Oreochromis niloticus: one gene and its partners. The protein of the gene in region 2 binds, or shares a complex with, the protein of the main gene of each other region. Links are inferred from orthologs where the notes say so. Each region holds a gene or a part of one and is shown on either strand. Other genes may lie near its edges. The genes, in order: cript, snrpd2, gemin2 and cwc15.

What was found.
Region 1: snrpd2 (region 2) and cript share a complex: the UniProt entries of both Homo sapiens proteins name them as parts of the minor spliceosome. The link is inferred for Oreochromis niloticus from reciprocal best matches to the Homo sapiens genes SNRPD2 and CRIPT.
Region 3: snrpd2 (region 2) and gemin2 share a complex: the UniProt entries of both Homo sapiens proteins name them as parts of the SMN-Sm complex. The link is inferred for Oreochromis niloticus from reciprocal best matches to the Homo sapiens genes SNRPD2 and GEMIN2.
Region 4: snrpd2 (region 2) and cwc15 share a complex: the UniProt entries of both Homo sapiens proteins name them as parts of the minor spliceosome. The link is inferred for Oreochromis niloticus from reciprocal best matches to the Homo sapiens genes SNRPD2 and CWC15.

Annotation. Positions count from the first base shown.
Region 1 is NC_031973.2:10,623,948-10,631,903, reverse strand, and holds the start of cript (cysteine-rich PDZ-binding protein), read right to left. Parts: upstream 3,013-7,956; 5' UTR 2,877-3,012; coding exon 2,861-2,876; intron 2,691-2,860; exon of another isoform or gene 2,613-2,690; coding exon 2,547-2,612; intron 1-2,546. Other genes in the region: pigf (phosphatidylinositol-glycan biosynthesis class F protein), read left to right, coding at 4,712-4,939, 5,574-5,665, 6,056-6,172, 6,279-6,387, 7,798-7,911. UniProt on the Homo sapiens protein: As a component of the minor spliceosome, involved in the splicing of U12-type introns in pre-mRNAs. Involved in the cytoskeletal anchoring of DLG4 in excitatory synapses.
Region 2 is NC_031979.2:15,055,095-15,062,723, reverse strand, and holds snrpd2 (small nuclear ribonucleoprotein Sm D2), read left to right. Parts: upstream 1-4,767; 5' UTR 4,768-4,913; coding exon 4,914-4,915; intron 4,916-5,788; coding exon 5,789-5,968; intron 5,969-6,673; coding exon 6,674-6,848; 3' UTR 6,849-7,120; downstream 7,121-7,629. Other genes in the region: foxg1c (forkhead box protein G1c), read left to right, coding at 1-637. UniProt on the Homo sapiens protein: Plays a role in pre-mRNA splicing as a core component of the spliceosomal U1, U2, U4 and U5 small nuclear ribonucleoproteins (snRNPs), the building blocks of the spliceosome.
Region 3 is NC_031983.2:25,158,308-25,165,628, forward strand, and holds the start of gemin2 (gem-associated protein 2), read left to right. Parts: upstream 1-4,306; 5' UTR 4,307-4,462; coding exon 4,463-4,587; intron 4,588-4,738; coding exon 4,739-4,823; intron 4,824-5,474; coding exon 5,475-5,564; intron 5,565-5,711; coding exon 5,712-5,771; intron 5,772-5,919; coding exon 5,920-6,036; intron 6,037-6,432; coding exon 6,433-6,477; intron 6,478-6,571; coding exon 6,572-6,640; intron 6,641-6,879; coding exon 6,880-6,990; intron 6,991-7,152; coding exon 7,153-7,211; intron 7,212-7,321. Other genes in the region: mia2 (cTAGE family member 5), read right to left, coding at 1-2,840, 2,967-3,053, 3,516-3,649, 3,740-3,845, 4,170-4,196. UniProt on the Homo sapiens protein: The SMN complex catalyzes the assembly of small nuclear ribonucleoproteins (snRNPs), the building blocks of the spliceosome, and thereby plays an important role in the splicing of cellular pre-mRNAs.
Region 4 is NC_031975.2:10,962,441-10,969,972, forward strand, and holds the start of cwc15 (protein CWC15 homolog), read left to right. Parts: upstream 1-4,527; 5' UTR 4,528-4,667; intron 4,668-5,352; 5' UTR 5,353-5,363; coding exon 5,364-5,494; intron 5,495-5,688; coding exon 5,689-5,801; intron 5,802-5,904; coding exon 5,905-6,005; intron 6,006-6,099; coding exon 6,100-6,210; intron 6,211-6,322; coding exon 6,323-6,450; intron 6,451-6,562; coding exon 6,563-6,692; 3' UTR 6,693-7,532. UniProt on the Homo sapiens protein: Involved in pre-mRNA splicing as component of the spliceosome. Component of the PRP19-CDC5L complex that forms an integral part of the spliceosome and is required for activating pre-mRNA splicing.

The DNA of each region.
Region 1 (7,956 bases), on a different chromosome or scaffold from region 2:
TTCTGTGCTTTTGCACAGGAAAGATGAGCGAGGTTATTGGTAATGTCAGCCATGTGCTAACTGTCTAATTTTACTTATACTGCACGGTGTTTGGCCAAAAAAAAGTTGTTTAGCCCGTGCAACAGGGACAGTGATTGATTAATGTACTGTGATCCACTCTCAGATCCTGTTTAGGTAGCTGTTTGGGGAGTTTATTTCCCACTTCCAATATGAAGAGAAAGGTTATACAAGCCAGGAAGCACTGGATCTCAGTTAACCGTTCTCATAGAGCAATGATTGATATCAGCTAAGTGGGTAAAAATCTTTATTCTTTCCTTTCATGTTTTTTTCTGTAATTACTAGTAACGGATGCTAATAAGATGCTTTCTTGAGAGTAGCTTTACATTAAAAGTTATAGCCTTATAGTTATAGCCTTCATCAAGTCCTCAGTGCTTAGGCTCAGTGGAGTTCACCTTACAATAACAACACATTTGCTCTGTGTGATTAGCACATCATAGCTGCAGATCTCAGGCCATCTATCAGTGTTTTCCTAACCACTTATCCAACTGTCATAGCGTGAGAGACACGGTACAGCAAACACAGCCAACACAGAGAGACAACTTTTCACTCTCAAATCCACATCTACAACTGATTTATAGTCAACCTAACAAGCATGTTATCATACTGTGGAAGACACATCAGCTCCCAGAAGAAGTTTGAACCCAGAACCTTCTTGTAGTGTGGTGACAGTGCTAACCACTGTACCACACTAATCTCAGGGCAAACCCGGTATTTCCTTGTTTCTCACTTCAGCAGCACTTATATAAACAATTAATGGTTAAAGAGTGTCATCTAGTGGTAAGAATTTAGTTGAAGTTTACTTTAAGAGTTAAATTCTAAAAATTGGACTAAAATGAGAACTTTTAAAGTTCATAGAGTCACATTATAACATGTATAAATGTTTAAAACATATTCAACCATTTAAAAAAGTTTACTTGCTAATCTCATGATACATCAGTGCAGTTCTTTATATGTCTGCTATGCCCTCCGATTGTTTGGCCACTTCATGAAAGACAGCTGCTCTCGCCTGTCTTTGTTGCAGTTCTCCCACACCTGACTGCCAGAGCCGTACGGGATTATGCTTGTTTGTAAAATCCATGTAATTAGCTCCAGCAGCAAGTGCCCCTTTGCATTTAGTCACCAAGCTAAGAGATGCATGTTGATTCAGGATTACTTATAGTGATCTTGGGAGTTGAACTGTGGCAAACCTGTGGGACCTGCTCTGTTCTGTTGTGTTTGGTTAAACTTGTCTGTATGTTAGCAGAAGCTTTTGTGGCCAGGCAGGGAGCGTAGGCTTTGTATTTGTGCTTTGACATGTAACTTGGTGCTTCTTTTCTTTTTTAGCAATAAAAATAAGTAGTTTTTTTTCTGTTTACTTTATTATTGTAAATTGATTGTAAATAAATGCCTTGTTTGTTCGACAATCTTGTATGAATGTTTGTGATTTGGTCTGCTGGTATGTTATGTTGTACTCCATGCCCTCCATAAACTGCAGATAAAAGCCCTTTAGATATGCAAGTCAGAGATGATTGTAGGCTTATATTCTTGAGTTACTATCACTGGTTTTAAAGAAAAGAAAAGAAAAGAAAAGAAAAGAAAAGAAAAGAAAATTGGATATCAGGTCATCTCCAAAGTACATGTATGTACATTGTGAATAATAGTAATAGTAATTTTGGACTTTAAATTATTTCTTTCAACTGTTCCTTTTCCAAGGGAATAATTGTACAGAACACATCTTGAATGACTTTAAAAAAACAAACAAAAAAACAAAAACAAGAATTGGGTGCACAGGTTTGGATTTTCTATAATCCACACAGGGTCAAAAGTATACATACAGGATCAAAAATATACACACACTATCATAAGTTTTTCATTAAATGGTGCTGAATGTTCTACAATGTATTTTAACCTGACAAGGCCAAAACTTCTTAACTCCTCCTCAGTGATCATGATTGACTACAACTGGTAGTTTCGCTTTGCTAACACAAAAATAATTTGTTTTACAACACTCATTGGAGTCATCAATACTCAGAACAATAGGAAAGTCAAAAGAACTCGGTGAAGATCTAAAAAGCAGAACTGTAGATTTACAAAATTAGGTACTTTTCTTGGAGCAATTTTAAACAACTGTGGACTCCAAAATCGTCAGTTCAAACAACTGTATGTAAATACAAACTACTTACATGTGCTACCACTTTGCCAAGGTTTGAATGAGGACGGAAACGAGGAATCACCAAGGCACAAGATTGGTCATGAACTAGAAACTTTTCGAACACCATCGTTCATTTGAAGTGACTTTTATACTGCAAAGGACTGGTGGTAGCATAATGCTGCCAGTGATACTGGTAGACTGCATAAGGTGGATGGAATCAAATAAGGAGCCAGAACTATGCCACAAACCATATTCTTATTTTTCTTTTGTTTGTTTTAAGTCATTCAAGCAGCCCTTGCACACTGGTGACATTATGCCATTGAACTGAAACAAATCCAGATTTTACTCTGTTCACCTGTTGTATTCCGGGCTCCATCCTTCCAGGTGTCAGGAGTGATGACCTTACCGAGCTTCTTCTCACCTGGAGATAAAAAGCAACGCAGCATATGTAACAAAAGCAACGCAGTGGATTTAAAGGAAATAAGCCTAGAAGGTGAAGGTATGTTTTCCTGAACCAAAACAACAGTGAGGACAGTAATAACAACAGTTAGCATCACATAGCGTTAGCCAGCTTTCTAAGGATCATCGAGCTTCTCTTAACGGGAAAAAAGACATTAGAATTGAAGATCTAAAATAAATTAAGTGATAGGAGAATGGCGAGATACCTACACTTTTCACAAACCATTGTCCTTCTTTGTTTGTTAAAATAGAAGCAGAAGCGTTAGCTGCGTTTAGCTTTCTCTGTTAATGTAAACTTCCGGTCGTTACTTCCGTTTCCTTGCAGCTCGCAAACGATTGATTGGTTAAAGCCTAGATTTCAAATCTCAGATGCCATTGGTTAGCTTTACTGCGCTTCGGCGAGGGTCCAAGTAACCCGTTCTGTGATTGGTTGCAGTTTCCCCTGTTCATCTGTAAAGTGGACGAAAACCTGTAAGTTTTCTTTAAAAATTAAAAGTTTGCTGCTGCATTATTTCACACGTGTGAATATAACGTGTGAAATATAACGTATGAAATACGTGTGAAATAATTAAATCCAATAAATAATAATAAAAAACTTTTAAAGCTTACAAACAGTAGGCGACTATAGCAGTCAGGCAGAGATAGTTTAAAGAACACTGAAGAATCTCATTTTTCTATTTCCCGTCAGAATAACGTTATAGCAGTGAAAGTAGAAAAAGAATGGCCCTCACTGATAAATAGTGGTTCACATCTAGCTACATGTGACAGTGTTCACATGTTCTGATTAAATAGGGAAACTGATTAAATAAAGGATTATGTTCAAACAAGTATACCACAAACATACAATTTGTTTTCAACAAAAAAAAAATCTGTGGTAAAAGTGGCTTAAAACAAAATCCACAATAATAATAAAATGAACGGTGGTTTATGGATGTAGTAAAGGAGGATAGGGTGGAGAGGGTTGGTGTGACAGATGAGCAGGGTAGTGGTAGGATGAGATGGAGGCAGATGATCCACAGACCCATAAAGGGAGCAGCTGAGAGATCTGAAAATGGATTAGAAAATGTTCTACACAAATATAAAAACACAAAAGTCTCAATGACTCCTTTGTCACTTTGGATTGAATTACACTGGACCAATTGCATTGGCCCAGGTCTCACATGTGAAAGATGAGAAAAGCCCATCTCCCACCAACCATTCTCACCACCTACTACAGAGGGAGTATCGAGAGCATCCTGAGCAGCTGCATGACTGTCTGGTATGGAAACTGCACCGTGTTAGATCGCAAGACCATACAGCGTAAAGTGAGAACAGCTGAGAAGATCACTGGAGCCTGTCTTCCCTCCAACACAGACACTTATTGAATCAACTGCATCCACAAACCCACCAGCATTGTGGAGGACCCCACACACCCCTCACACACACTCTTCACCCTCCTGCTTTCTGGTAAGACATACCGAAGCACTCACGCCCTCAGTGCCAGACTACAAAACAGTTTCTTCCTCCAAGCTGTCAGACTCCTGAATACTCAGAGACAAGACTGACACACCCACACACCTTTATACATTCCATTACCTCAAGTACTTATTGCACAATGCTAAAGTCTTTTTGTAAAACTATTGCACCATCTTGTGTCTGTATGGTTCTGCTCTATCTGGTGTCGCACTGTTTTTTGCCATTTTTGCACACTTGCACTTTAATTAGTCCTGTGTTGATTTACTGTTATATGTAGCACCATGGTCTTGGATGAAAGCTTTTTCGTTTCACTGTGGCAGCAACAAATGTATACTAAATGCATGGCTGTCTGTAATATATTTAAAGTTGTTAAAACTATAATGTACTTTTATTGAACTTTGTCTTGCCTCATCTACAAGGAATAAGTATTGTACTTTTATTTTGAAGTGAAAGCGGAAGTGAGCATGGTTCCATGTTTACGGAAACAAGGTCAAGCGATTCATCTATGGATGTTACCTGTGCTACAAATCCAGCGTTACGTTGAGGTTTAAAGTGTTTTGTGTTCAATTTGTCGGTGTCCTGTTGTAGTTCGCTACAGCCTTCACAATGTGGGACCATGAAATCAGAGCCATGGCGTCCACTCACGCTATCATCGCCGCTTCGGTGTTCATGGCGACGGTGCTACCTGCTGTGCTCGTACCGGGCTTCTCGGTGTACGGCACACACCTGCTGTGGCTCTACTCGGTGTCCGCTGCGGTCACCGCGGTCAGCGTGGCCGTGTTCTGGCTGCTCGGGATCACACCGCCCGCCAAGAAGCACACGCTGGGATACAAGGTGCTGATAACGCTTTAATAATGATGGAGTGATGTGTGCAGTGCCACATGGGCTGTTTTATTTTTTTTAAAAGTGCAATCAATGCAGTTTTTAAAAGAGGGTTTCATTTGTTAAGGGGGGAAAGCGATCCAAACCGACCTGGCCCTATGTGAAACACTAATTGCCCCATTCAAATTTTGTCTTGCTAGTCCACAGAATATTTTCCCAAAATTCTAAGGGGATCAATAAGATGCTGTTTGGCAAATATGAGACAAGCTTTTGTTTTAAATTTGGTCAGCAGTGGTTTTGTCCTTGGAACTCTTCCATGGATGCCATTTTTGCCCAGTCTTTGTGTGTGGTTTGTGGATTGTGGTGTAATGTGTTGCTCTTAGACTACTCCACTTTGTCAGACAGACTCTGTTCAAGTGATATTTTAATTCAACACGTCTGGCAGTAATCAGGCCAGGGTATGGCAAGTAAAATTAAAGTTGCCTTTCCAAAAAAAGAAAAACATCTTGACTTATTTGTATATAAATTAATGTGAATACTTGACTCTTGCATGTTCATCAAACCAAGATCTTTTTTCCCAGGAAGTGATCTTTTTATATCTGGATCTTAAAGGTTTGACTGTTTTCTCGCTGTTTTTTTTCTGCAGCTGTCGAGGTTGCTTCGCTCCTGCCTGTACTTCTTCCTGTCGTGCCTGTTCTTCCACACTGTTGTTGTCTTATACGGAGCTCCACTGATCGAGTGAGTTGTTGTTTTTGCTCGTGTTTACATGTATGTGTTTAACAGAGGTTGATAAAGAGAGACGCAGAGAGCAGAGATCGCCACAGTAATACACAATAAACTAAGGATCCATGGAAGGATCACACATAAATGAATGAAAACAGCAGGCAACTACAGAAATCTTCAAACCCTGAAATGATTCTGTCACTTATAAAAAGTCAAGTGAACTGAATTTCCCAGAGGAACCCACCCGAGGGATTAATAAAGTTTCATCTAATCTAATCTAAAGTGTTTTACTTTGTCTCTGCTTGCTTTTTTATGTGCTTTTTTTTTTTTAAACAAAAAACAAAACTGTCAATAACGCTCTTATTGTAGTTGTCGTTGATACCGTGAACCTATCATTTCTTACAGATCTGCCTTAGAAACATTCTCCCTTGCTGTGCTGCTGACTTCGTTAACCACGCTGAGGTGTCTCTGTGTCCTCGGCCCCAACGTCCAGGCCTGGATACGAGTCTTCAGTCGCCACGGGTAAGGCTGAAATCATTTTCCTTCTTTTTCTTTCCTCCTGGCTTTTCACATGACTCTGTGTTGAAGATAGTAACTGTTCTTGCTTTTTCTTTGTCTCTGGCTCCAGAGCTATGTCTGTGTGGGACACCTGTCTGCAGATCACTGTGGCCTGCACACTTGTTGGAGCCTGGGTCGGAGCATTCCCCATACCTCTGGACTGGGATAGGCCCTGGCAGGTAATTCTATGCATGGACAAAGCGTATACTCTTGGATTTGTATCCTCACATTAGGTCTTATACAGTCTAGCATGTGACTTTTTTATGTTTAGGCTCCTTTTTCATTAAATTACATGCTGCAGTTTAATAAACGGGTTCCTGATATTTCCTCTACACACATTCATTTCATTTAGATAAAAATAACCCAAGAACTGGCTCAGTCAGTAGTCTGGCTGTGGCACTTTGTAAGCAAATTAGCTGGCAATGAAGGTACATTCAGTACTTTTTCTTTCCCCAAGTGTCGACGCAGCAGATGGATCTACGTGTTTAATTTGGCACAGAGTTTGTGCCAGATGCCCTTCCTGACACAACCTTCACATTTATCTGAGCTTGTGACCCCGAGGCTGGGTTTGTGTCTTCTGGTCTGAAACCAGGGATCTTTTCCATCCCTGGTTTAATTTGTTAACCACTAAAGCACGGAGAATCAAATGTCAATTTTAAATTTTTTTTGCAAATAAAATGAATATTTCTTGCTTTGGAAGAGAGAGTCTGACTAAATCTCTAATCCACTGTATGTAGAAATGTTCTCTATCCACAGTGGAGTTTTTGCTCTTAAGACAGGGAACTAACACGACCATTTAAACCATATTACCCGCGAAGCCTCTCTTAGATTTTTCTGAGGTTTTCTCAAATGACTGCTGGATTCACAAAGGCCTCTTAACTGCATGGACTTGTAAATTACTGGTTTCATTTTGATGAATGGAGGAGGTGGATGTCCTTGTGTTTTCATTATTCCGTTAAAAATACCTTTAAAATGACCTTAAATGGGTACTTTTCTGCTTTGTTAGTTGGTGAGTAGCAAAAGTGTTGTAGAAGGGGAGAAAAGGAAGAGAAAACAGTAAAAAAATTGGAATACACGTGTATTAATAGCAGCAACATCAGGCTGATGTGCTGTAGTGACAGAAGTAAAGATTGTCTTTCAAAAGCAGGAATGAAATGATAGGTTGCTATGGTGATATATAACACAAGTGTGCCAGAGGATGATACTGGGCACTAACCTGCATGAAGCCGGTGTGGTAGCTGTCAGAGTGAAAAAGCTGGTGTAAATTACACATTTTTTTTTTGTAGTTGATTTAAGTTGTTAACTTCCAAATTCTCCATCACGATGATTTTTTTTTTTTAAGCACTGGACAGAGTAATCAGCCAATGAATAATGAATTAGATTGTTTTTTTAATGGAAAATGGAACACATTAAAGTTATAATTGCACAGGGAATTCTGTGTAAAATGACTGAAGGAAAATGCAGAGGTAATTGGGGTGTAACTCAAATTGACAGACTAATAGTTCAGCTTCTCTTTGATGTATCGGACCAGTGTCAGGCTTTTAGTGAACAATCATGCTCACTTTTCTACTACTTCTGTGTTTTTGTAGGTCTGGCCTGTTTCCTGCAGTTTTGGCTCTTTGTTCGGCTACTTGACCGGGCTTGTTGCAGCTCCAGCGTGGATCCATTATCACCGCAAACAGCTCACATACAAGTGCAAGTGATAGTCAGACACACGTGTATTATGCCTGTGCTTGTGCGAATGTATC
Region 2 (7,629 bases):
GGGAAAACTGCGGCGCAGAGCCGCAGCTGGCTCCAGGGCCAAGCTTGGGTTGAAGAGAGGAGGCGGTCGTGTGATGCCCTCCAGCACTGCAACTAGCGTCACTCTGGCCGCAGCCAGTTCGTTTTACTGGCCGGTTCCGCCGTTTCTACCTCTCCAAGCGCCGGTGCGCACCCACCTTGGCGCGGGGACTTACCTGAGCGCGCACCCTCGCTTCTCCAACCACGCCACGTCGGTGGTCTCACAGCGGGCCCGACTGAGCGCAAACGCTGCGGACGCTGACCGGTTCGTGCAGACGCACCAGGAGATGTCTTACATCGGACTCAGTTGCGCGCAGTCCCGTCGCCACCAGATCGGCGCCGCGTGCACCGCCTTCTCCACCTCCATCCCCGCGTGCACGCTGCCGCTGACAGACCCGTGCTCTTTTAACATGATCTCCGGACAAGCCAGCTACTTTTACTCTCACCACATACCGTGCGCCGCCACGTTTAGTCAAGAGGAGTGCGCCACCTCCAAGACACCAGCGGCGACGTTTTTACCCAAGAGCGGTCACTCAGACCTCGGAGGATGCTGCGGTGACTTTTCAAATTACTGCCCTCAAGTCAGCCCGAGCCCGTCGTCTTGGAATATAGAGAAATAGATAAACAGTCCCGACAGCCAGTATGTGAGATTTGAAACATTGCTGTAGATAGTTTGCTAATTGTTGGAAACAAAAGGCAAAGCCAAAGAATCCCGATGAATGATAAAAATCCTGCAATATTTACCCAAATGTCTGCGTCACAGTGGATGTCTCTAAGTAAAAAAGCGTTAATAGACTTGGATTATTTCTCAGAGTTGCAAAGTTTAAATGACCAAAATAAATGACGCGTGGACTATAAGTCTTAAAATACTTCATCCGACAAACACATTTCCGAAAATGAGCAAAAAAATGTGTTTTTGCATATAATGTAAATCCTAGGATATGCGCGGATATGCGCAGATCATTTTTTAATGCAATTAACGTTCACCGAGTTTGCATCTGCTTCTGAAATTGTACTAGAAAAAATATTATCCTTTGTTAACTTTCCTCATCAATGATTTCCCACATGTATGTTTATTGGTATCAAAAAGTGAAGGGTTTTTTGGCGCATGTCACCAGTTTTGGTTTGAAGGGAGGTGAGAAGAAAACACGATTTTAAACATGAAATAAAATCGAAAAATATATAACTCTTGATGAAGGGATTTGCTTTCTCCAGCATGGTGTCCAACACATTAAAATATTACTTCGAAAAGGTTCCAGCTAAATTTTAAACGAACGGGTGGAACCGGGTTTTTTGGTTTGGTTTTTTGGATTTTTGGATTTTTTAGTCCACTTTTTAAATTATGAGTTTTCAGTTTGGGTGAAAATGCGATGTGAAAATGATACTTAAACTGCTCATTTGCTGCACTTATTGTCTTCGATTTCGTTAATGTTGCAACCATATATATATTACATTCCCATTTTAATGACCTTACATGTAATTAAACGATAAATAATGCATTTTTAATTGTGTTTTCTTTTTACCTCATTAAAAGCTGCTGTTGTTGATTGTTCTTATTTGGCTGTGTTATTAAATGTTTCACTCTGGAGATTTGAGCCCGCACAATAAGAACTATATATAGACTGGATTGAATGTTTTAAGGAAAGGTTGTGAGGCACAGAGGCCTCTGTGTGGGTATGCTCTGAGCCATTCTTTTTTTGTTTATGAACAGTTCCACTAAAAAGGTTTCTCGAGGAGATATCGTGTGGAAAAGGTTGTGATGTAACCTCAACAGGTAGACATGGCATTTCCAGTCGCGCAGATCTTATTGATCTGTCTTGTGTTTCAACCTGCGCTGACATCACTGCCTGTTAAACTTTCCCTCACCTCTCCTCCCTGCTGCACCCTGGAGATTTAAATTAATAGATGTATGTGGATGCAGATTAGAGCAGCTGTCTCTTTTAAACAAAGGGTTCTTTATCAAAAACATAAATAGAAAGAAAAAAAAACCTCACCACCTTTCCAAAGCCAGCCACATCCACAGTCACCTGTGGTTAAAGCAGACCGGGCTGGATCAGGTAACTCACTGTCTAGATAGATACAAAAGATAATATTTACACTTTGGCATGAAGCACTGTGGCACTGTGGTGTGCAGAGCAGCAAGGGGGGGGGGGCTTAGCTGTGAAGCAACAAGCTTTTGGTGCAAAGTATCCTGAGGCAGGAGTAAGAAGATACTGTTTGCTGTTAGTGCAATAAATAACATGTTTAGTTTGACAGCTCTACTAATAACCATAGAGCTATAATTCACCCTGCTACAATAAGGTTTCGCTGGTTTTTGGTGTGCAGGAAGCTGCAGAAATGTAGAAATTATGATGGCTTTTTCAAAACCAATCAAAAGTTTTAAAAAAAAAACTCTTTAGTTATCATCTCTTTCTGCTCAAATTTCAGTTTTCAGATACATTTTTTAAAATGTACAACAAAATGTAAAGTGGGAATAACACCTCTGTTTGTTCTGTTTGATTTGGGTGAGTAGGAAAGGGTCTTTGAAGACCCTCACGTATCTGCATTTGTTGTTCCCTTAAAATTAGGTTGGAATTCAGTTGCTGAGCATGAAGCAGTCCATGCCAGACCTTCGACTTCTCCCTCCACATCATTTCTGTTTGGAGAAACAGAGCAGCTCTTTAAAGCCACTGAACATTCTGCATCAGTATGTCTCAAAGTGCACCTGTTTGACGATCAACATCAGCATCAGTGTTTGCCAGCTTGTTTCTCCCACGCTGCAAAATTTTCAGGCTCTGTTTAAGCTCCAGTATTTTCTGTCAAAAAGAAACCTTGTTACCACAAGTTACCACAAATTCTTCTTCTTCTTATTATTATTATTATAAATCAAACAGATTTAACAGATTTTTGTTGTGCACTGAAAAAGAGCTTAAAAAACACTTATGGGAGAGGGTGGCTATCCGTCTGTGCCCGGCATGTCCTTGTTCAGTGTAAGGTGTTGTACAGGTTCAGTTTCACTAACATTAGACTCTAAATCCTTTCCAAATGTAGAGTCAATCTGTCATACCCACACCTCTTTGGCACACGCTTTCTGGAGGTGTCCTAACGTGTTCACGTGTTTGAACTCAGTCTTCAAAGTGCTGTCAGATATTTTTTTCAGACTAGTAATTCAGTCTGACTCTTTCACCATATTTGGGATTTTGGGTGAGAATAATAACCTTCCTGTAAATGAAGTGCAAATAACAAAAGTTGCCACCTTGTGCTGCTTGAGGGAAGTGATGCAAACTTAAGATATTAAGATTTACAGTATGTCCACAATATATTTTGATAAATCTGAGGGAATTGTAAATCCTTTAAAATCCTGTTCACTTTCTTGCAGGTCTATCCATTTTCTTAGAAACACAATCCAATTAAATGAATCTTACAGTTACTTTGTGCATCTGCATGTCTGTTAATGTGTATGTTTTGCTTTATTTTTTGTTCTCACTGTTCTGTCTGTTTTGAAAGCCAATAAAATTTAGGTTAACAAAAAGGAAACTTTACTTTTTCTACTTGGCTGTTTCACATATTTTCTTCTTGTCTTTTTGGTTAGTTACTGAGTATTTGCCTGCTCTCTTAACTGAACAAAGTCTTTCCAGACTCCCACTTTTCCGTTTCATGTATATGAGCTCATTTTACACCACAGTTTAGGATGCAAGACTTTTGGCTGAGCTAGGTGTGCTCCATAAAGATGTAGCCCAGCAGCGCTGGTAATCGATCCCAGTCAATCACACTCCCCTCCCTCAGCAGCACACAGGCTGCCATTATCTGCAGCAAGTGCTTTCGACAGGTAGATCTGCCACCACTGAAACAAGGTGGGTGGGTTGGACACCTATAGGCGTCTGTCTGTCTCTTGCCAGAAAGCCAATCTCCCTCTCTCAGACATAGACGTGCTCTTTTTACTCGTTCTTGTTGTACCGAAGAGCAAAACAATGACTTAACTGTTTGAGTCTGCATATCAGTTTGACTGCTCTCTGATTTATTTCTTTTATCCTATAACATCTTCTTAAGAGGTCTGAGTTATATTGAGTCCCAAACCGTTATTATTATTATTATTATCATTATTATTATTATTATTATTGTTATTATTATTAGAGTATCAGTATTCTTTGCAGAAAAAAACATAAAATTGCTCTATTCCCTATAATAAGAAAATTATGCTTTTAAACTGAAAGACAATTTGAGCATGCTTACATAAGAATTTATCCTGTATTTAATATGTTAACAGTGATGTCAATTTTATATGTATATACCATATTTTACTACACGTAATCTCATGGGCTTACTATAAAAGTTAAAACCATTTAAAATTTTTATGAACTAATAGAAGGATTTATAGTTTATTCTGTACTCAACTGGGAGCCAATGAAGTGACTTAATGTGAGGACTCTTATCAAACTATATGATTACCAAAACTGACTATCCAAAAAAAAAATGCCAGGGTTCCTGATGCGCTCATTGTGTTTCAGAAAATTGGATGATAAATACGATGAAATGTTCTGTCTCTGATTTTCTGGACTAACAACAAATATTTGTCTTACCTCTTAAAATTCAGCAATTAATGTGTCATTAGTTTGTGAACAGGATAGATCATCGGAGTAGAATAATAAAATCATATCTAGTCAGCTTTTAGAGGCAGTCTATTGAATAAAATGTAAAATATAATGCAATTAATGATGGAAACGGTGTGTTTCAGATTGACTTTTTTGTACCGTTCAGTTAGCCTGTAGTAACCCGGTAGTTGTAGCGGCGTTTTTGAAGCGCCTTCCAATAGACCCGGAAGTAGTTTGATCCACGCGAGCCATACGGAATCGTTGCAGAGCGAGCTGAAAACGACCGAATTGTTACAGAGTGAGCTGAAAACGACCTAAAGAAATCATGTAAGTGTCTGTGATGATCAGCTATTGTTGTGAGAGACTGGTTATTCTTTCAGACACTGAAATCCGCTAACAGCGAGCATTTAAAAGGCTAACATTGTTAGCCTTTCTGCTACCCGGGCCGGTTAGCTTGATGTGCTTGATTCTTTGTAGACGCTTTCGGAGCTCTCCCTTTTCATAACTAGCTGTGTTACAGATTTGTTGTAGTTACATCAAAAGTAGTTCGTACATCTGGTCTTCCTTGTTGTACAGTTTAAAAATACTGATTCCGAAATCAGACTATAGCGTAAATGCTAGTTTGCTAAATGCTAACAAGAAACAAAGTGTGTGAGCGTGCGTTTTCATGCTGGTAACTAATTGCGACCTGTAGCAGTCTAGTGACGTAAAAATTATTATTTTTTTAAATAGTTTAAAGCATAAAAGTCCCCAAACATGTCCCAAAATATGACCCACTGAAGCTTTTAAATGGCTAGGTTTAAGCTTCAGTGTGTTGTGTGTGTGCTGTCTGATAAATGCATCTGTGCTCAATACCAATTTTACAGGTGTAGCGAGACATTTTACTTTGTGTACCGTGTACAGTTTAAGTTTTCCACTTAACTTTTTTTCAGTAAGTAGTCACACAACAAATAATGAATAAATTCCAGCAAAATTTCCTAATAATAAAAAAAAATATCAAAATGTATAATTAGTCTATCTGTACCTGAGCTGTGGCAACGCACAGATTTCCCTGCTGTGGGATCAATAAAGTCTTGTGTTATCTTAATAACAAAAAACCTCCAATAGTACTACTTTACTATTTCAAATATATGCCACTGTTATTGTCACACTCACTTATTAGGATACTGTTATGATGTTGTCTCATTGTTTCATTTGCAGGAGCCTCTTAACAAAGCCCAAGTCAGAGATGACCCCTGAAGAGCTTCAGAAGCGAGAGGAGGAGGAGTTCAACACCGGCCCCCTCTCAGTCCTCACGCAGTCAGTGAAGAACAACACGCAGGTCCTTATAAACTGTCGCAACAATAAGAAGCTGCTCGGAAGAGTCAAGGCTTTTGACAGGTACCGAATTGGACATTTATTTAGTATTTAACACTCTTGAGGGTATAATGTGAGACTTACTTGTTTATATCAGTGTGTTTTATATCTTGTTTCTTTTGTCTGTTTTGTTAGATTTAAGCCTTTATTTCATTATTATTGCTAGCCACTGGTGATAACATGTTATCGTGTCACTTTGGTCCCTTTTTAGTATTCACTCGTTTCTTATTTTTCTCCATTGGAGTCACATTTAGCACCTTTAATTTATTATGAAATATTGCCCTGTCTTAAAGGTAAAAGTAACCAAACACATTTAGTTTGTAATTGTTGTATAATGTTGCTGGAACATTGTCCTCAGGCACATACAATCATTTTAATGAGCTGGTTTACTCACCTAATGAGTGAAAGATCCGCCAACTCCTATTGACGTTCCATCAGAAAGATCTGTTATAGAAATTGAAACATACAGAACTACCCACCGGAGTAACCCATTGTGAATGAGGTAGCAGCTGAAAAGTAGTTTTTGTTTTGTTTTTTCCATTTTAGGTATAATATTTATTTATCATTTCTTCTGATACTGCAGAAGATTTAAAAAAAAAAAAAAAAATCACAGAACATGTACATGTAAATGCATATGTATGAGTACCTGAGTAAAATCACAGGTATTTTATTTATGTATGCATTTATTTTCTCTAACTTGCTAACATTACATCCTCACCGGCATTTCAGGCATTGCAACATGGTCTTGGAGAACGTGAAGGAGATGTGGACAGAAGTTCCGAAGAGCGGGAAGGGAAAGAAGAAGTCGAAGCCCGTAAATAAGGACCGCTACATTTCTAAAATGTTCCTCAGGGGGGATTCTGTCATCGTGGTGCTGAGAAATCCTCTGATCACAGGAAAATGAACTCTCTGAACCGCTCACCTATTCTTTTCTTTTTTTTTTCTTACACTTCCTCAAGGCAATTGATTGTAGTTGCCGTAACCTTATTTGTTTTGATTTTGATGTTGGATCACTGAATTCACTATTAAGACAGAAAACGTGTCATCAAAAAGATGTTTCTCCCATTTTGACTGTCATTTAAAATGTTAGGCATGAAAGTGACCAATTTTTTTCTTTGTCTGCGGAGCTTTTCTGTCTTTTTCATTTTCATAATAAAAGTGATGAAGAGATGAAAACATTGTGCAGATATTTTTACAGCTTTTAGAGTGTATGTAGTTTACATTACACAAATGTAGACTAGTCTTTATATTATTAATTTCTCTGACAAAAACTGGTTTTATGTTTTCAGATTGTCTGTTTATCCCATTCTCAAGAATTCAGTATTTCAGCTTCATCACATTTGGTACATCTATTTATGTTCACTTGGGCTAAAAATCAACATCCCTGAACACAAAAAACATTTTGGCTCCAACTAAAGAATTAATTTAATAATCCCTGCACGGTTTCACACAAACATCTGACTTGGTCTTTAACTTTACCAGTAATTAAAATGATGATGTGATAAACTTGAATAACCATAACATTTACAGTGACACCATAACGTCTCGCCAAAAAAGAAAAAGAACTTTGCTTATTATTCACGGCCAGAACACAGAAACAAACAGGAGGATTTTTATCTGTATTTTAGATTTGTTCTGACACAAAAAGGTGACTTTAATCTTTGTCGCCCACTTGAAGTCCCTGA
Region 3 (7,321 bases), on a different chromosome or scaffold from region 2:
GCTCGGTCAGTCTCTTCAAACTTTAGCTCCTCTGCCTTGGCTTTTTTTTTCTCTCCATCCTCCCCATTTTTTCCTTCCACATCTTGGTGGCTTTCAACCTGTGCGACTATTTCAGTTAAAGATGATCCTGAGCCGTTCTCACCTTGTGTATTTTTGTCATAGGTTTCTGTCTCTTCTGTGTTCATGGTGCTCAGGATCTTTGCCTCATAATAAGAAGACTGCACTGTTTTTCCCTCTTCATCTTTCTTCTCTTTTTCCTGTACACCCTCCAATTCTTCTTCCCTCTGTAACTTCTCCACCTTGTCCTCTTTTTCCTTCTCTGGTAACTCTTCCATCTGCAGCTGTTTTCTATCCTCCTTTAGCTCTCCCATCTCCCCCTGCATACTCTCCACTTCTGCCTCATTAGTCTCCTTTTCTTCCTCATCTTCCTTTTGCTCTTTCACCATTTTCCCTTCACCTTCTTTCTTCTCTTTTCCCTCTAGACCCACCAGTTCCCCTTCTTCCATTAACTCCTCCACCTTGGGGTGTTTTTCCTCCTCTGTATTCAAATGTTTGTTAGCCTCCTTTAGGTCTTCCACCTCTCCCTGCATGCTCTCCACTTCTGCCTCATTACTCTCCTTCTCATCTTCCTTTCGCTCTTTTATCTCCTTTAAATCCTCCAGTTCCTCGTTATCCTCCACCTTCATCACCCCTTGATTCCCCCCATCCTTTGACTCCTCCTCTTTTTCAGCCTCTAATTCAGAGCTTATCGCTGACTTCAGGTCATTTTCATTTAAATCTTCTTCAGTGCCTGATGCCTCTATCTCTATTTTAACCTGCTGGGACTCGTTTATGTTGTCTTCAACAGTTTCCTTTAGCTTGCCTGCATCACTGTCACTTTCATTGTCAATATGCTCCATCACTGGAGACACAGAGGGATCTGTGGCTAGTCCACTTGTTCCTCTGTCATCCTTTGGGATAGTTTGAGTGCTTCTGACAGGGTTATGCTGTGAATCCAATTCCTGTGAGCTCAGAGTTTCTCCCTCCTGCTTTAACTCCCCATGAACTGTCTCTGCTTCTGTGTTATTATCAAAAAGAGCTATTGTATCTGAATTGTCATCATTTGTTTCAGCACTATAAGGAGTAAAACTTTCATTCTCAGCTGGAACTGGATTGTTTTTCTCCATAGATGACGGTAAGTGAGGCTGGCTATCTTTGCTACTGTCTTCTACATCACCGTTCAGCTCCTCAGTCTGAGTTCCAGATAAATCTGTATCCTCATTACTGACTTCTCCTTTATTATCGTCACCCCTGGCAATTTTAAGAGCCAATTCTGTGGTTTCTTCTTCTGTGTTATCAGTTTGATTTGTGATTTCTGCCCCTTCCTCCTCCACACTTTCTGATTTCTTGTTCTCCATCTGGTCTTTTTCATCTTCCTTGACCAGCACAGACTTTGACTTTAAATCCACTGAAATGTGATCAGGGCCCAAAATGCTTTCAGATGGTGTTATAGAATCCTGACTGATAGCACTCAGAGTTTTTCTTTCTTCCTCTCCTGGCTCCCTGCTGTTATCCATATGTTCAGCGTCTTCACCTTCCCTTTCTGCAGATCTGTCCTCATTAATTTTGCTTTTTTCTATATTGTCATCATCATCTTTACTGGAGAGTGATTCTGCTAAAGCCTGAGATTCCTCTTCAAACTTCCTATCAGGAGAAATATCTTTGTGATCAACTGTGGGTTCAGCCTCTTCATGGAAATCACTGTTTATCCCACTGTATGAAGTATCTGTGTTGCTATCAACACTGTGACCATTAAGGGGTTCTGTAGGGGTATTTTGGTCTTCTGACAGTTCTTCCACCTCCTTTGAATTATTGCTTGTCTTAATAATTTCCTCCTCTGGTTCACTGTGATCCACATTCTGCGATCCTGTTGGTTGCTCTAAAGTTGTGACTATTTCTACCTCCTTAGATTCACTTTCTTTGTTTTCATCATCTCCAACTTTATCTTTCCTGAAACCTAGAATACCTCCAATCTCCATGTTTAACCAAGAATTAGCCTGCACCTTCTCCTCCTTCTCCTTCTCCTGTCCTGACTCCTGACTGGTCAAACCAAACCCCAGCGTGCTTGACAGCCCATTCCCTAGCCAACCTAAAGTCCCCATCTCTTTCTTCTCCTCTTCCTGCAACTGGCTGCCTTCAAGGTCCAAGGACATCCTCCTGCTCCTGAATTTCTCTGTGGGTTCTTTGTCTTCATCTGCTTCTTGTTCCTCTTCTGTCTCACTTTTGCTTCCACCTCCAAAGCTGAGCCACCCAGTCATTGTTGAAGTTAACGATTCAGCAGTTTCTTCTTTAAATTTCACACTTTCTTTGCCATTGTCAGGTTTTCCATTTCCTCCGAAGCCCAGCCAACCTGTCACAGAGGACGTGAGCGAAGTTTCAGCCTGAGTTTCTTTCCTCTTATCTTCTATCTCCCCTTCAGCCACACTGTCAGGTTGGTCCTCTTTACCCAGACCTAACCATCCTGTCACTGAAGAACCAAGCCAGGAAGAGGAGGGAGACCCACCTTGTTGATTAGGAACCACAGGAATCTCATGTGTCTCCTCTTGAAACCCAGCTCCGGAACCACCAACATTTTTATTCTGATCCTCTTCTTGTTCTTCTTCTTCCTGTGCAGAAACTGGGGAGTCTGAGGTTGTTAAGTGGCTTTCTGCTTTCGTGTCATCAGTGCTTTGGGTAATTTGGGTGGTTTCTGGCTCCTGGATTTGGATTTTCTGATCAATATAATCATCATCGTCATCATCATCATCATCCATATCCAGATAAGTGGAGCCAAACTCATTCATGCAGAAGAAATCAGATTTCTGCAGAAAAAGGGCAAAATTGTAATTCTTACGGAAGGACACAAGGAAGACAAAATAGAAATAATACTAATAATTACAATACTTTTTAATACTTAAAGTTTGTTTACATGTGAATGATGAAATTACCTGTGTTTCCACTACTTTCTCCACAGTAGTATAAACCTCCTCTTCTTGCACTGTGTCCTTTGGAAAATATCCAAACTCTTTGTCAATCTGAAATAAAAAAGGAAACAAAGGAGCTGTCAGCATTTTTCTTCTTTCTACCTTGAAGAAACACAGAAATCTCAACATTTGTCGTAACAGATTATTCTTTAAAAAGATGCTCTGTCATTTGGTGTTTCTGCATTGATGATGACTGCAAACATAATCTTTTATAATAATCAAATAATTCATTCTTCCTTTGCACAGAGAATTGGGGCACTGTTATTCTGAAAAAGACCAATCCCATCAATCAAAGGATAAAGGTCATCACACAAGTTTGTACTGATTGATTTGAGGTTGCCCTTTCATCCTAGGGAAACACCCTGGCAGCAAACTGCCCCAAACCTCACAGTATTACAGTGCAGGGGTCAAGGGATTAGGTTTTCTTTCTGTCTGTCTCTAAGTGAGCACCTGGCATGAATGAAGCTTTAGGGAAGCACAGAAAGGAAAAAAAGATTGAAATATGACACATACACTGCCTGCCCACAGGTCATTCCTCTTTCCAGTCAATTTGTGGTAAACAAAGATTGTGTCTCCTTGCCTGAAGCTCAGGAAACGACAGTCCTTACCACGGTGGTCCCTTATGGCCTGCACTCTGCTTAGGAGCCCTGCACACACCACAGCAATAGAACACAGGGGTGAGGTGACCATCATTATCGTCATTAATTTAAGGAGCTATCAGGAGATTTTGAACTTACTTTGACACTCAGAGTCTCCGCAGATCTTGTAGTCAGACAATAATCCGAGATTTAAGTGGGGTAAAATCACTAAAACTGCACCCAGTGACCACAGGAACCTAGAGACCTGAAAAATAGCCATGATTATCTGACTTTTAACTGGAGGCTATTAGTAGTAAATGTCCATAGTGGGGTGGAAATAACTCAGGCCCGTTGTGCTGGCAAGTGAACATTGCCTCTGAGCTGCTGCTGTGTGAAGACTCAATACTAAATGAAACAGCTGAGATAAGATATAAGGCCAGTATGGGGATAATCATTAACATCTCAGGCCTGCTTGCAATACCAAATATTATCAGTTCGCTGGTCAAAGGTTTCTATTTCGTTACAAGACTTAATTTTAATGGAAAATTGCTTTAATTGACATTTAATTGAGATTTTAATGCGTACACACATAAACGAGGTTCCGGGTAAACGCCATGGCAACTAAAAACAGACCCATTCTGTTATTTTCGACCTTTCTCCAGGACTGACAGCTGGTCTGTTGCTGTGGCAACAAGGCAAACGCGCGCACAAAGACGACGTCATCACTGTGCGTTTGTTTTGCGAGAGAGATGGCGGTCTAGTCTGGTTGTGTTTACTCTTGGTAAAAGGTTAGTGTTTTGGTCCGTTGCGAGTCCGTATTTTTAATTGAGCTTGACTGCTTCATTTAGCTAAAAGCTAGCCGAGCTTACACATTCAGTCACAATGAAGTCAGACGTAGAGGAGTTAATGCCGAGGCTGCTGCCCATGGAGTGTGGATCCGGTACCGGTGAGGACCTGGACCTAAGCGGACCGCCGAGAAACCCCCAGGAGTACCTCCGACAGGTCCAGTAAGTGCATCCCAACCTAAAGAACACACCTCTTATTAATACTCGCGTGTAATTAACTCTTAGATTCTCTTTGCCTGTTGTCTCTTTGGTGTGTTAATATATTAGTTGAGGTGGTCGTGCTGCTTCAATGAACTTTTTTCCTTTTGGACAGGCTGGAGGCTTCATTGTGCCCAGAGGTGGTGGTCGCTCAGATTGACCCAAAAAAACTAAGGAAGAAGCAAACAGTGAATGTATCTGTAAGTAAACTGAGAGGCAAATGTATTGAGACCAGTTGATGCTCCAGGTGTATGACAAATTAAAGAAAATTACAAACCCCTGACCTTGATAGTGAGAGGGTTCATTAGCTTTGTTACTGTGTGGTGTCTGCAAAACAAAGTATTTCAAGTATTTTTACCTTGATGTGAGCAGTCAGTCCCACTCATCATGCATGTGAATGGCCTAAAAATGTTGGGCTTTTAAATGATTTCTTTGAATTTTTCTTTTTTTTTTTCAGGATGGAATGATTTTAAAGCATTCACTTCAATAACCTTGAAAAACAAGAATTGGGTGCACAAGTTTTAATTTACTTTTGATTTTCTGTAATCCACAAAGAGTCAAAACATTCATACCCACGATGAGTGGATGGAAACTTCTGAGCACACCTGTATGAATCTTTCTCAGTATCGTTTCATAGTTTTCATTGCACAGTTAGAAATGAATGATAGGCTCTGAAAAATGTTGTGCTGTGTTCAATTTTTACGTTGATCATGTAAACAGTATACAGAAGTTCATTTAGCAAAGAAAAGAAGATGCTATACAAAATAAAACAAAATACATTTCAATAATGCATCACCTGTTCTGATTATTTCTCAGTTACATTTTTTGTGGGGTTGTTTTCTGGTTTTTAGGTGGCAGGGTGTCATGCTGCTCCAGTGGGTTTCTCCCCAAGTCTAAGATGGCAACAACAGCAAGTCAGCAATTTCTCTGAAATCAGACAGGTAAGAGCCTTTTTGCTGTTATGATATTATACAATAGCACAGCCTAACAGAATTCACTAAAACTTTTTGTAGGTCCAAATCCGCACAAATCTGTACAAGTGGATATTTGACAATTTATGAACTTTTACAACATTTTTTTCCCTTTAGAGTATCACAAGGCACAGGAAACACTGGACCAGCCAGACTCTAGATGACAACGTGCTGATGGTGATGTGATAATGTGTAAATTTGATGCTTCAGCATGCAATGCTTTCCTCTAATAACCTAATAAATCCCTCTGTCTTTCTCCAAGAGGCAAACTTGAAAACAGAATTTATGTTAAAATTTTATGTATGCGCGTATTTGTGTGTTACAGCCAAAGCTAACGGATGAGGAGGGTTGGAAGAGGTTTTGTTTAGGAGAGAAGGTCTATCTGGGCACTTCATCCACCCACACAGATGCAGAACAGGAGCCAGCACTGGACTATAGCAAGGTTATATATGTAATGGCTATATCTCAATGTTTTGTGTCATCATGAATACAATCTGTAAGATTTTTTGTCAGTAAAGAAGCTGTCGGTCATGTCTATCACCCATTGGATAATGAGGTTTTGAAACTGGACCTGACACCACACACTTACAAGTAACAACCTGTGATTGAAAATCTTCCTAATAATGCCAATAATTTAAAAAAAATCACTTCATTTTGTATTCAGTGTGAGCTGAAACTAGTGACTGAGTCATCAGGGAGTTGTGGGCCATTTTTCCACAGATTTCTATGTAAATGGAAGTGTTTTTATTTAGAGTGAAAGCACTTCTGCATCTGCATTACTTTTCAGACCCAAAATATGTCCTGCTCTATTTACCTCAGCATTTCTCTGTCTGTTCAGATGGGGTTCCCTCCCTTCCTAAGCATCATCAGCAGACTAAACCAGGTAAACGATCCCTCTGTAGACATTCAAGATGTTCTAAACCAGTCGAAGCCTGATTAGACGATGTGTGTGTTTGTGTTTTCCCACCTGTCCACAGTCCACAGTGCTGATGGTGTTGGAAATCCTCATCGGCTGGTTCGAGGAACGAGAATTTGTTCCACAGTTGGTGAGTCTGATGTATTAGCGACACATTTTTATGCTGGTTCCGAACTCCACACGCATTTATAGTGATCCTGTGCTGCATTCAAGATAGATATGAGCTGACTATGAATGCATTCCTCACAGATATCATGAAACCAAACATTTCTTCAGCCTCTGTCTTATGTTTCAGATATAGAAGGTGATGGTTTATTGGCTGCAGTTATTGTGAAATACTTGAGTTTGCAGTCTGTCTTCTTGTTTCAGGGACGCTGGTTGTATGCTTTATTGGCCTGCTTGGAGAAGCCTCTGTTGCCTGAAGCTCACTCATCCATCCGACAGCTCGCCCGGAGATGCGCCCAGCTCCGCAGCACGTTGGTAGGCCACAATCCTACCATCTCCTGTAAAGCACTATCTCTATGTGCTATCACTCCATGCTTGAAACGGCCACAGCATGCCATGTTTTTCTAGTTCTTTGTTGAGATTTGATGGGATTTTATTTACTCTGATAGTCTTTTCCCTGCTTGCATGACTTCACAGGACAGCCAGGAAGATGATAAACTGCCCGCCCTCAACCTGCTCATCTGTCTTGTTGCCAGGTAAGGTTCTCTGTATTTTTGTTATATGGAACTCTGTGTAAAGAGAGCCCCTTAAATGTTTTTTTTTTTTTTTTTTAAACCACCAGTGTCTAAATTGTTCAGGGTGATGA
Region 4 (7,532 bases), on a different chromosome or scaffold from region 2:
TGAAAAACTTAAAATGCTTTTCTAGCAGTTTTTCTAATGCACAACCACTATGTTTTATCTGTCATACTCTACACACATTCCCACTTCACCCCCCTTCGCAACCTGTAAAGCTGTATTCATGTACATAAAAACTAATCCACCATGATAAAGTGATATTGAAGCATTTACTCTTTGTTATTAACACACATGGACAGTTATTATTATCTGAATAAAACCATTTGAGCATACCAGAAGGCATTCCACAATAAAACTTGTGGAAAAATCTAATCTGCTTGTAAACACTATTAACAAATGTCCCTTGTGCACTACCCTCTCCCCAGTCTCTCTGCATCTTGTCATATTGCGCATCTGTTTTGTATTCTCTTCAAGCGCCTGTTAACATTTTGACCTGTGCTTAGTGCTTTAATCTCTTGTGATGAATCTTTCTGGAGATGTGCCAGCCCCAATTAAGCAGGTCAAATTCATTATTCATAGAAAAGGAAAGCAATTCAGATTTGGTAATGAGCCCCTTCTCACACAGGCCGTGAACAGGGGTGTGAAGTCCATTTTTGTGCCGTATTGTGTTCTCACCTGTTTGTGTCAGAGCAGATCAGTGTCGGTCCTCCTCCGGGTCTCTGTGACACGCGAATGAGATAGCAGAAATACCTTCACCGGAGCCCCACCCCCTGCAGTTTCAGATCCCGCCCCCACCCCTCTCCCCTGTTAGTTTTGAAGTGCCGCACCTGGATGATGCTACACAGGCTCATTGAGCAAGCGGATAGGCTGGGTGATAAGAGGGACAGCACTGTTTTGTGGTTTCGATTTTTCTGTGAGTGTGAGAAGTCACATTCCAGAGATGTTTTCTAGTGAGATTTTCAGTCTTTGCTGAGAAGCAAATTAAAAATAGGCTTTTATAACCTGCCTGACAGCTTAAAGGTATTTAAATGAACCCTGCAGGTTAGTGCTTGATCCTGTTTTCTTTCCTACTAATGGCTATAGCAGGGGATTAAACTGAACTCAATTCTGCTCAATATTAATGTAATCTCTTTATACACTTATTGGTGCGACCCTCCACAACAGTCCCAGTTTCTCATGTGGCCCCATGGGAAAATTAATTGCCCATCCCTGAACAATAGCCTTTGTGCCACAGAAAAAAAAGTAGACAACTGAAAACCTGCATATCATTAACCACAAAAGTTTTTTTTTTTTTTCAAATATAAAAAGCTTGTAGTATTGTTTCACCCACAACAAAGACTTTCTTTCACAAGCATACTGTTCCAGTTGGTAGGCTTCTAGGAATCAAGCGGGACCAGATCTCAGAGTTGTTCGAATTTAATCTACTGTCTCATCAGACCTTTTTAATAATATTTACATTGAAAATCCTTGAACCGAAATGCCCATTCTCTCCAGTGAAAATAAAAGAGCACGGAGAAAAGCTTAACCTCATTATCTGATGTTTACTTTACATTTTAATAAACTGAAATATTCACATTTTGGTCTGTGGGTGTACAGGGGACTCTGTGTGCAAAAGCGATTAATGTGTTTTTTAATTCTTGTAATGGCTGTGGCTCATAGGGTATACAGCAGGTTGGTGGTTGAATTGCTGGCTGTTCCAGTTTGCATGCCGAAAGCATCCTTGGGCAAGATACTGAACCCTGAGTTGTTTCCAGTGTGTTCATTGGAGTGTGAGTGTTAGACAGGAAGCACTTTATGTGTGAATAAACATTTTGTATAAAGTCCTTTGAGTGCTCAGGTAGAGTAGAAAACCAGTATATAAGAACTGGTCCATTTACTTTTCAGGTTTTTAAACGTAAGGGTATTCACTTTCTTTCACTGAGGCTAACTCAAAACCTGTAAAGATGCCATGAAAATGTTTAACTTTTTTTTTTTATAACTGTGTCATTCTTTTTTATTTTTCCAGTTTTCTCCCAGTTTCTATACTTCAGTTTGTAAAGTTTCACAATAGGGATGTGTATGTGTGGGTGCACAAGTATAAGTATATATATCTGTAAATTTGTATATCTTTTGACGTGTTACTCAGGTAATAAAAGCAAATACATGTAACAAATTGTAAGGAAGAATTTATGATGGGTAGGGCATGAACAGGAAGAAAAAGTGTTGACTATTAGTTACTAAATAGTGGAAAGGTGGTGGGATTAAATAATTTTATGCTTCTTCCTACTCCTTTTTGAACATGTAAGTTATTTATAATTATTATTGTTTTGTTTTCCTTTAGTTTTGCTTTGCTTGTTTGTCTATTTAAACATGTTCAAAATAAAGATACAATACAAATACAAATAAAAGTATTGCTGCTTAGACAAAAAATATTTGAATGGTAAGTGGAATCCAGTAGAACCACTTCTTTTCCTGGTTCTCTCACAGAACAGTATCGAGATAAAAGAGAAACCATCGAAGTGGTGAATGATGTGTACAATTAGTAATGAAGGAGTGTACTTTTTTTTGTGTCATTAAAATGCATGTTACAAACATAAAGGGGCCAACGTTAAAAGTGTGTGTCTTTTTCAACACAACTAAGTTATATTACTACTAATAATAGAATAATAGCAGTAGGAATTTTGGTGAGTGTAGCAACACTACTACAAAACTACTGAATGTACAGGGTGGGCCATTTATATGGATAGACTGTAATAAAATGGGAATGGTTGGTGATATTAAAGTCCTGTTTGTGGCACATTAGTATATGTGAGGGGGCAAACTCCTCAAGATGGGTGGTGACCATGGTGACCATTTAGAAGTTGGCCATCTTGGATACAACTTTTGTTTTTTCAATAGGAAGAGGGCCATGTGACACATCAAACTTATCGGTAATGTCACAAGAAAAACAATGGTGTGCTTGGTTTCAACATAACTTTATTCTTTCATGAGTTATTTACAAGTTTCTGACCACTTATAAAATGTGTTCAATGTGCTGCCCATTGTGTTGGATTGTCAATGCAACCCTCTTCTCCCACTCTTCACACACTGATAGCAACACCGCAGGAGAAATGCCAGCACAGGCATCCAGTATCCATAGTTTCAGGTGCTGCACATCTCATATCTTCACACCATAGACAATTGCCTTCAGATGACCCCAAAGATAAAAGTTTAAGGGGGTCAGATCAGGAGACCTTGGGGGCCATTCAACTGGCCCACGACGACCAATCCACTTTCCAGGAAACTGTTCATCTAGGAATGCTCAGACCTGGCACCCATAATGTGGTGGTGCACCATCTTTCTGGAAAAACTCAGGGAACGTGCCAGCTTCAGTGCATAAAGAGGGAAACACATCATCATGTAGCAATTTCAAATATCCAGTGGCCTTGAGGTTTCCATTGATGAAGAATGGACCCACTATCGTTGTACCCCATATACCACACCAAACCATCACTTTTGTTGGTCCAACAGTCTTGGAGGGATCCATCCAATGTGGGTTAGTGTCAGACCAATAGCGGTGGTTTGGTTTGTTAACTTCACCATTCACATAAAAGTTTGCCTCATCACTGAACAAAATCTTCTGCGTGAACTGAGGGTCCTGTTCCAATTTTTGTTTTGCCCATTCTGCAAATTCTGTGCACCGATCTGGGTCATCCTCGTTGAGATGCTGCAGTAGCTGGAGTTTGTAAGGGTGCCATTTGTGAGTAGCTAATATCCGCCAAAGGGATGTTCGACTAATGCCACTCTCCAGTGACATGCGGCGAGTGCTACGCTGTGGGCTCTTGCTGAATGAAGCTAGGACAGCCACTGATGTTTCTTCATTCGTGACAGTTTTCTTGCGTCCACAGTTTGGCAAATCCAACACTGAACCAGTTTCACGAAACTTAGCAAGCAGTTTGCTAACTGTAGCATGGGAGATGGGTGATCTCGTAGGGTGTCTTGCATTGAAATCTGCTGCAATGACCCGGTTACAACGTTCACCAGATATCAACACAATTTCGATCCGCTCCTCACGTGTTAACCTCTTCGACATGTCAGTGGCTGTGCACAAAGAGAAACTTGTAAATAACTCATGAAAGAATAAAGTTATGTTGAAACCAAGCACACCATTGTTTTTCTTGTGACATTACCGATATGTTTGATGTGTCACATGGCCCTCTTCCTATTGAAAAAACAAAAGTTGTATCCAAGATGGCCGACTTCTAAATGGCCACCATGGTCACCACCCATCTTGAGGAGTTTGCCCCCTCACATATACTAATGTGCCACAAACAGGACTTTAATATCACCAACCATTCCCATTTTATTACGGTGTATCCATATAAATGGCCCACCCTGTACTGTGTTAGAGTTGTTTGTGTGACCATTACAGGGAGGTTTTGCTTTGAATGCATCTTCTACGCATCTGTTTGAGCGTTGCACTTAACAGCATCCTCATTTAACTCCTTCACTGTAACACAACGCACTATTCAGAAGACAGGTCACTCCTCCGCTGATGCCCCTGCAGTCTATTTAGTCTATCAGTCTTTCGGAAGTGGTGGTTTCCAAAATAAAATTTAGAGAGGCTGTAGCATATTTGTTAAGTTATACGCGTAGACCCTAGTGGTGTCAACGCTATGTTGAGATGTAAGAAGTTTAAAATCTCTGATTTTTCGCACGCTATTTTCTCTGAGTGTTTCTGAACGCATCTTTTTTTTCCGGAAGTGACGTTGATTGTTGTATCGGTGTTCCTTTCGTCGTGTGGTAGCGGCTTTGTAAGTGTTGTTTCTTTAAACCTAATTTTTAAATACTGCTTAATGAATTTTTTAAATTTCCTTTATTTTTGGCTGTAATATCACTTCTCTGAAACATTATCCGTCTTACCGAAGGCTCGAATTAGTGTCGTTTTCAACCTCATCGGCGTTGTTATAGGAAGTTAGCGTAGCAGCGTTTTAGCTTTAGCAGCTAGCAGGCTAATTTGTTCTTTTCATTTACTGCCTTTTAGCAGCTGATATTTATCTTACAAAGAAGTATTTAAAATGCCACAGTCTCAATTTAATCAGAAAATTGTTAATTATAGGTTTAATTGGTTGACCTGGAGTTTTAGCAGGTGAACAAATGATATTTATTAGGAAAATTACGTAACTTGTCATCTAAATGCCTCTCAACTGTTATTTACGTTGCTAATATAGATATACACGTGAACTATAAGCGGTTTGATCACCACTGAGGTTTAATGAGTAGGTAATTGATATTTGGGAAAGGGTATGTTGTACCAGCTTGTCTAAAAACCAAAAAGATGAGCCTTCTGACTTTCTATAAGGCACATAAGTGGAGTAAAAGCGTGTTGTGTTGTAGGGCACTACAATTTGATTATGGACACCGTGTCTGCTCTGCTTTTTCTGCTTGCAACTTTTCCACCTGTTTGATAGGTTTAATGTCTTCTTTGTCCCATTGCAGAGCCATCAAAGATGACTACAGCTGCAAGACCAACATTTGAGCCGGCAAGAGGAGGGAGGGGTAAAGGAGAAGGTGATTTGAGTGCTCTCTCCAAGCAATACTCCAGTCGAGATCTTCCAGGTCACACAAAGATCAAGTACAGGTCAGAAGATCAAATGTGAATGGAGTTTTATCATTGCCTGATCTGCTGGCTGGTTAGCTAGAAGGAAAGATGCTTTCGGATCAGTTTGTACTGCATTATCTGTCTGCTCACTGTGAGATTGGTGAAAGTGTTCCAGAAAGCGTTCTGGACGAAAATTACAATTTATTGATCTGCTAATGTTTTCCCTTCTGCAGGCAACCTACCCAGGATGCCCCTGAGGAGGTCCGTGCCCGTGACTTTCGTAGAGAGCTGGAGGAGAGGGAGCGTGTAGCAGCACGTGAAAAGACCAGAGAGAGGGGACCAAGAGGTTGGTCTTTCTGCAGAAATTAGACTTCCTGTTTATGTAAAATATATTTTAGTGTATATTTATTTTCTCACATATGGCATTATGTTGGTCTTATTTTTTCCAGAGCACACCACATCATCATCATCTTCTTCGTCATCTTCAAAGAGGCCAAGACTGGATCAGATCCCAGCTGCTAACCTTGATGCTGATGATCCTCTCACTGATGTGAGTGTCTACAATGCAAGACATTTTGGGCACTTAACTTGAGTAGTGGTTAGTACTGATTAATCTCCCTTAACAATGATTTTTATTTTATTAGGATGATGAGGACGAGGACTCTGATCAAGATAGTGATGATGATGACACTGCAGCTCTTTTGGCTGAATTGGAGAAGATTAAAAAAGAGCGTGCTGAAGAGCAAGAACGCAAAGTAACTGTGTTTTAGGCTGTTCTGTTTGCACTAACTAAAATAAGACGTTACATTTGGTCAGAAGAAATATTATTTCTTTGTATTAAGTAAAATTTTCTTTTTTCCATCTTAGGAGCGAGAGCAAAAGGCAGAGGAGGAGAGAATTCGAATGGAAAATATCTTGAGCGGCAATCCACTGATTAATTTGGCTGGACAGCAGCAACAGAACCAGACACAGAATACATTCAGAGTCAAGAGAAGGTATGTCTCACTTATACACAGTCACCCACAGTATAACCACAGGATGAGCTTTGTATTTGAGAAAAAGACCTCTTAAATCTAATCTTGATTTCATTTCCTAATATTATTCAAGGTGGGATGATGACGTAGTGTTCAAGAATTGCGCCAAAGGAGTGGATGAGGCACGGAAGGAGAAACGCTTTGTCAATGACACACTGCGCTCTGAATTTCACAAAAAATTTATGGAGAAATATGTAAAGTAGAGGACTTCCTCTGTGTTATTTGTATTGTTTTTGTTTTTATTATCTAATGTGTTTGGTCTCCTTCCTCTACCCTCTGTTGCAGAGGGTACATGGTTTTTCAAATAAACTCTGTATACAACTTCATTAATACTTGTACAGTCATCCATCTATCCATGCTATTAACCACGTATCCATCTGTACAGTCATGCTGTATATAAATGTGTCAACGTGACATCTTTGAGTGAAATTTGTCAAAAGTTAAGTGCAGTTTTTAAATGTGACCAAGCATTTATTTTCTTTTGGGTTTTTTTCAATAAACTGGCAGAGATTATATAAACCAGCATCTCCACAAATGCACAGTTAGATTAGGATCCAGTCAGATCATCAGATGGAAATGTCTTCCTTCTGTTTAGCCACTCCACACACACAAACATTTCATTTTAAACAGTGTAGAGATCTGCAGTCAAGCCTTTATTTCTTTATGCAGCCATCTGCCATCGACTTTTTTCTGCTTATCTTATTCAAGGGCACAGGGGCGCTGGAGCCTGATTTAGACTTCTGTGGGAAATTGTAACGTAACCGGAAAGCCTTCTTAACCCTACACCGCAACCTGATCTGCACCACTTGAGAAATATAGCTACACATCAGGTCGAAGCAGACTGCAACAACTGAATGACATGGAAGGTTAGAGCGTAGAGTTAAGACGGGTTTCTGGTTGCAGTAGAAAGAACAACTTGGATTTCCTGCAGAAGTCTAAATCAGGCACATCCCAGCTGTCATTGGGTGAAAGGCACAATACACCCTGTCTGTCGCATTTCTTGTCAAATTAATTTTTTTTCAATAAATTGTCTTCATATTAAA